2 linked regions of the Xenopus tropicalis genome follow. The protein of the gene in region 1 interacts with the protein of each later gene in a pairwise test. Links are inferred from orthologs where the notes say so. Each region holds a gene or a part of one and is shown on either strand. Other genes may lie near its edges.

Region 1 (4,228 bases):
GTCCGTTCCTGCTTAATGTGCCTTGGTACAGTTTTAGGTCCAGGCTTTTTTACCATGGATGGGCCTTCTGTGTACTCATTCCTGCTCCGAAGAGCTTTGATCTGATCCAAGGACAAGATAGCCGCTGGCTGAACTTCTCGTTCATATTCCAACCGTTGCCGGCTGTCCAAAGATGGCTGCTGTATCACAACTAATGAACCACCAATGCCATGTTGACTTTGTAGCTCCATCTGTAGTGATCTTGATTTCTGGCATTCAACGTGAACTTGGCATGCATCTGAAAACCTGCCGATCAAAACACACAACAAAAGATAAATAATTTAGAACGGAGTTTTGGAGATAATATAAGATACAAATTCAAATCATCACAGCAAAAAATGTCAGATGACAGTTACAAGATAAACTACAAGCAAGGCAGATCACTGCATTTCCCCCCCATATCTAATATACTCCCATTACAATTTAATAAATCATGTTTTGCCATGTATGAAAGTCATTCTGCTTCTGCATGATGCAACTGGTTCAAGAAAAACACAAAGCCTCCAGATACCGTAGCACTTCAAGAAGTCACAGAATGGATTTCTCGTTTAGCTACTATACATCTGAACAAAGTGATTACTTGGTAATGATAACCTATCCTATGACTGGAAATGATATATTTCCAAAAGAGAAGACTTTTACCCCAGTAATAACTTTAAAAGAAATTCACCATACTAAAAGGGCTTCAGTCTTTCAGCGTATAATTCTGATAAAGGGGCTCTATCTTAATTTATTCTTGTTTAAAGCAAATTTAACTCCCAGAGTTTTGCCATGGAGAAATAAATAAATGTGATGCCTCCCTGTCAAATAATATTTACCTAAGGGCAGTTCTTGGTGACCAAAACAAAGGAAGAAAGGAGAGAAATAAGAGACAAACTAACTAACTAATCAGTCTGTGCTGCAAGTTCTGACCTCCTACTTATCTGTTCCAGTGATTCCCTAGGCACAAGTTTTTTAAGGCAAGCTGAGAAAATGATCTTTAAAGCTGAATATATATTCCCAAGCCCAGATGAGTGGCAGATGCTAAAAAGAGGGGTGATACCAGCTGCACCCAACCTCCAGAGCCAGGCAGTGCAAAGGTGCATGCCCACACTGCCCTGGCACACTAACACATCCTACAGCCCATTGGTGTCACACCTCCAGCTGCACAAGGCAAGCAAGCTAAAACGCTCTCACTGAAGAAAAGAAAGAAAATCGCACGATCTGAGGCTTAGAAAATGCCTATAAAATAACTGTACCGTGTGTGCCAAATGGATAACTAATCGTGCGACAATCGGAAGAGACGGAATGGGCAAATTATGGAGATGGATTGGGGTGGGGAGGGCTACAGAGAGAGAATCCGAATGATCAGAGAGCGAGAGACGGGAAAGGAAGGAAAAAGTTATGAATGAAAAACAAACCGTGACTGTGAGAAGGAGGAGGAGGAGAGGCGCTGATTGCCGCAGGGGGGCGGACTTTCCGCACATTCCAACCGCAGCACCCTTTCCCATCGGCTCCAGCTCGGAGCCCCAGAACAAGGCACCCCTTACGGGTTTCAGCACCCCATACCAGGTGTGCCAGCGTTCCCACATAGAGATTTCTCTGCGAATCTGTTTTATCGCCTCTTCACTGCCCCTACACTCACTCTTCTGGCAGTAAAGTGGCATCGGATCGATTTAACCAATCAAAGAATTAACATAAATAGCCCCTACCCTACACTAGTCCGACTACCTGCACCTACCACTAGGTGTCCCCATCCTGCGTTTGAAAGAAGTAGGGGCACCTAGCTCTAGGTCTGCGTAAACAGTTTATTTACACGTTTCTGTGCCAGGGACACCCAACTCGAATTGAAGCAACTTCAACCCTGCAGGCCCCTACTCTGACCCATGGCCTGCTGATATGTTACACTGCAGCAATATGTAGGCGTAAAGCAGCTGGGGGGTATCAAAACTGCATCCCTCCAGCTGTTGTAGAACAACAACTGCAAGTGTGGGTTGTAGGTGCCATTCTGAGAGCTGCAGTTCAGCACAGCCGCAGGTTGGTTGTGCATCCTTCTGAAAAGATATTACACGATTGGATATTTGTATCCAAGGGGCACATAAGATAGTGGGTCATGGGGCAAATACACTCTATCCCTCACTTGGGCAAGCCTGCTGGCATATTGGGAGTTTCAGTAAAAGATCCTTGCCTTATGGCCTTGCACCAGGAGCAGAGTATTATCCAGATATACAGACACTTACCTCTGTGCAAGCATGCACCAAGCAATAACACGTCCAACTCCAGGCTGCGGCAAATCCGATCGGAACTGGGGGGCTTAAGCATGGGACATGTCTCCAGTAAATCCCCAGGGCTGGCACTACTGTATCTGATTGTAGCAGCTTTCCCTCCGGGGGCCACAGTAATTAGGGCCAGGGTAGTCCTTGGAAACAAATAAATCCACAAACGCCAAGGTGGGCAGGAAAGGCAATTGCACCTCTGTCAGGGGTAGGAGCGATCCAGCAGGCAGGCACCGTAGGCTCCGTGTTGCTGCATGCGATGGGAGGAGGCACAAGGACTACAACACTTTTTCCTTATAATAACTCCTTTATTTCAGCCACAAGTAAACTCCAGCGATTCTTTTCTTATCGCAAAACGCTAACGTTATCAAGAGTCCTTTAAACAGAAAGCCGCGGCCCCACGCATATATTCCTCGGGTCGGTGTGCGAGCGCCGCTTAAATCCTCAGCACGGATAGGAAATCCACATGAGAAGCGATGGGCAGAGAATAAATGGTGATGAATGAGGGTGTCACCCTCGCAGCGATCACTCACAGCTCCACAGGGAACAACCTTCCACGCCTTGCGCTCTCCTGCCTCTGTATGAATGGATTCCTGGAACGCTGGGTTTGTTCCACAGCGGCCTTCTCATTGGCTCTCCGGAATAGTGTAGGGGAAAAAACACCAAACCTTCAGCTGCCGTGGCGGCGCTGATTGGATTAGAAGTGGGAGGGGCGGGGCAGTGGCGGCTGCGGTAGCTCAGAGCGAAATCGCTGCAAGGTGGATTTTAGCGGAGATTTCACGTGCGTCAGGTCGCTGTCACTGTTGTTCACCCGGGCGAAAAATGTGCCCACTTATGGGGTGATGGGTAGGCTTTTAGATTGGAACTCGCCCCAAACAGCCCTGTAATGGCCCTGTCAGCAGTACTTTGCGTGACTTCGGTCATTTACTAACAGCGCAGGGTGGCACTTACAAATCAAGGGACCCAAGGTCTGCAGGAAGGCTGGGGCAATAACTTGAAGGGCAGTCAGTAATAGTACTCGAAGGTTCGTCATCCCTGAATTAATTTTTAATTAATTGTTTTTTTTTTCCCAGAGGCCCCTTGAGATTTTGGGGATCCAGTGCACATAGCATTTTCAAACTCAATAGGCTGTAGTTTGTAATTTAATTTCTATGAATTCTTTATTAGCTCCTGGAGTTTTATTCTCAAGAAACTGTAGCGCAATACCATTATAGATCGGCTTAGTGGCAGCAACGCATTTTGCGCCTCTGTGATAAGGCTGAATAAATGCAAAATTGCAGGAAAGTAGTAAGGGCTGTGTATAAGGTATATAAGGGCCGTGTATAAGGTATATAAGGGCCGTGCATAAGGTATATAAGGGCCGTGTATAAGGTATATAAGGGCCGTGCATAAGGTATATAAGGGCCGTGTATAAGGTATATAAGGGACGTGTATAAGGTATATAAGGGCCGTGTATAAGGTATATAAGGGCCGTGCATAAGGTATATAAGGGCTTTGTATAAGGTATATAAGGGACGTGTATAAGGTATATAAGGGCCGTGTATAAGGTATATAAGGGCTGTGTATAAGGTACATAAGGGCTGTGTATAGGGGCGCAGAGAGTTAATGAGAGGGGCGCGCATAGCTTGCGTGTGTACCCGGGGAGTGTTGGATGCGCAGCTCCGCGCTGATGTGCCTGCACTTGTCTCCTGTGTGATCTTGGCAGCTTCACGTTTATTTCCTTAGGGAAGGAAGAACTGTGACCTGTCCCCCCCAGGGGGGAGCTTGAGTTTCCTGCAAATACACATTCCTTCCTGGGATTTCATAGTAGTAGGTCCGTCCTACCATTGCCACTACCATCCCTCCGCCCATTCCCATTGGCATGACTGCTTTGATGTATGGCCAGGACTGAAAGGGTCAACGGATACAGTCTAACTACATTGTATTTCTAGAAT
Region 2 (2,689 bases), on another chromosome or scaffold:
ATAGATAGGAAATGGAAAGAGGATGTTTTCTTTCCAGTGGAAAACATGATCCCCAAAATAAGTCAAACTGTACTCTTTGAACTGCTCAAAACAATGAAAGCAGCAGACATTTGTGCAGAATTGCTGTTGGCACTTCCAGTTGGCATTTGGGCTGAAGGGGCCACCTCACTACTTCAGCATATTTGTGAAGAGACTTCAGTAGAGGATGTTGATTTTTTTTTAGATGTCTGGTGGGAGGTAATGAAAAGCAAGAGTGATGAGCAAAATGAAACTCTTGTGTTATTTTCCTCTGTGGTTTCCCAGTACTTACCAAAGTCTAGTGATGAACCATCACAGAGCGCCAAAAGATTTAAGTCAGATCCTGAACAGACTTTAAATCAAGCCGATAATATCCTTGCTGTTTTTCTAGAGGGGCTTCATAAAATGAAACAGTGTGTTGCTACCAACAAGCTGAGGTGCTTTACTATTGCAAATCTAGCTGAAATGTTATGCTCCTCAGCCTTTCTCGAAAAGGAGTCTGAGCTTCTGCCCATAAAATCATATTTAGAACAATTTGCAGTAGTGCTTTCCTTCTGTGAAAAAGGATCCAGAGATGTTGATATGATTAGAGTAGCAGAAAGGATGGTGCAGAGCGGAAGCACATCTTCAAGATTCCGCTTACTACGAGGTGCTCAGCATTTTGGTTTAAGCCTTCTCAAAGACCTTCTTTTTCAGTGGGGGGAGGAGTTAATTCATTATTTGAATAACAACAAAGTAGTTGGCTATGTATGTTACAGGATGAGACACAGCCTTGCATCTTTGCATAAAATCTTGAGAACGTTAGAAGATTCTGGTACCTACCCTGAAGAACAAAGAGGGGATGTACTGGAATTGGCACACTGCATTACAAGCTTTCAAGAGAAAACCACCCAAGTTCAACATGGATGTCCTTCTAATGCTAATGAAATGATGGCTTTTATTGCCATGAAAATTATTGAGAATAAAATGGACCGTTTCAAAGAAGTTTGTTCTGTCTTCGCCTCAGAAGTATCCTGGGCCTTCTCAAATGACTGGTTAAATTGTCTTGAGAAAAACAAAGCACATTTTCAGGACCCTGCAATGGTATTAAAATTGCTGGATCTCATAGTAACAGTTACTGCTTTACAAAGTAATGTGGATATTGGATCAGTACGAAAAGGCGCTGATGTCACATTAAGCATTTTTTCAGAACTTTCACTGTCTGAGAAGAATGAAGTGCTGAAAGAAGTTTTATCCTTATGGGGCAGAAAAGGGCTTTCTCCATCTATCAAAGCATTTACTGACAGTTTCCAAGATGAACTTAATATAACATTCAACCAAATTTCCCAAAGCCTTTCTGATTACAGTGCTGCTCAGGCCGTTTCAAAGGTGTCTAAACTGGCTTTGCTGAACCCGCAAGCAGTAGTAAAGAAAGCCTGTCATTTTGCAGTGGTAAATGTTGGTGCTCATACATTTTTAGCCAAGATATTGAGCTCCCTTCCAGCTTTATGCTTTAAGTGTCCTAATAATTCAGAAAAAACAGTCTCTCTGTTGTGTGAGTGCCTGATGGAAACCTGTTGGGGTAAGTTGTCTTCTGATAAGGAAGAGAGGCAGTTTTTAGCCTTACTAGCCTTTCTGATGGAATCTTCAGAAGTAAATGATAAGGATTCTTCTATCCAACTTCTCCAGCCAGCTGAAGTCATACAAACATTTGTTCTCCCGTACATTTTTGACGAATATGCTAATGTTGCGTTATGCTTGCACATACTTCATAAGGCTTTTAATGTTCAGAATCCTGAGGATGAATCTGGAAAACATTGGGTTTTATCCTGTTCCCCGTTTCCACTTATTATGTCATTATGTAAGCTTCTTAATTCCTACACAAAATGCTGGCAACTTTCTGAGAATTCACATTGCCTTACACTGGGCTCCAAAGAGTTAATCATTGACATTCTTACACTGATCATTAATGCAGTCATGCCCGAGGCTGGAAACAACTCTGAAACGTGGAACAAGTCACTCTTCTGGTTGCATAAAAAAATGGAAAACTTGGATTGGGTTGTATGTTTGAGGCTAAAACCAATATTTGGAAAACACTTTAAAAACGAAGTCCCATCTTCATTATTTGACGTTGGCAAACTGTCTGAGAGGGAATGGGTTCCTCTTCAGCTACCCGAGTATGGACCAGGCACAGGTCTTATGGCATGGCTGGAATGTTGCTGCATATCTGCAGAAATGAAAAACCAAATGCTTTCTCTTCTCTCTGTCAACAGCAAAGACCCTGAGGAGGTCAACCTTTTTAGTAAAGGTTTTCTGGTGGCAATGATCCAAGTTCTACCATGGTGTAGCTCAACAGAATGCAAGCTTGTTGCTGAGGTAGTGAGACATCTCCTTAAAAGACGACTCCTTCATGTACCCTACACTCTAGAATATGTACAGCATATGCCACTTTTGAATCTGCGACCATTTGCTTATAATCTCCAGTTCTCTGTTCTTCTTCTCAGAGGCTTTCAGCTTCTATGTAGTTCTAGTTGTTCTGATTGGCTACCTTTTGAAGGGCACAAACACATTGCAAGGCTTTATACTAACTGCATATTTGATATATTAGAGGCTGTCAAGCAGCAGATATCAGGAAATAAAAATGAGACCCAGACAGAAAGGAAAGAACAGGACTATGTTCAGGAGGCTTCCT

What was found. The genes of interacting proteins can lie anywhere in the genome.
Region 2: the proteins of spry1 (region 1) and gemin4 interact in binary tests that used the Homo sapiens proteins (3 or more experiments, as listed by UniProt). The link is inferred for Xenopus tropicalis from reciprocal best matches to the Homo sapiens genes SPRY1 and GEMIN4.

The regions. Positions count from the first base shown.
Region 1 is NC_030677.2:65,663,581-65,667,808, forward strand, and holds the start of spry1 (protein sprouty homolog 1), read right to left. Parts: upstream 2,815-4,228; 5' UTR 2,273-2,814; coding exon of another isoform or gene 2,259-2,272; intron 2,239-2,258; exon of another isoform or gene 1,278-2,238; intron 286-1,277; coding exon of another isoform or gene 231-285; coding exon 1-230. UniProt on the Homo sapiens protein: Inhibits fibroblast growth factor (FGF)-induced retinal lens fiber differentiation, probably by inhibiting FGF-mediated phosphorylation of ERK1/2. Inhibits TGFB-induced epithelial-to-mesenchymal transition in lens epithelial cells.
Region 2 is NC_030678.2:96,481,057-96,483,745, forward strand, and holds part of gemin4 (gem-associated protein 4), read left to right. Parts: coding exon 1-2,689. UniProt on the Homo sapiens protein: The SMN complex catalyzes the assembly of small nuclear ribonucleoproteins (snRNPs), the building blocks of the spliceosome, and thereby plays an important role in the splicing of cellular pre-mRNAs.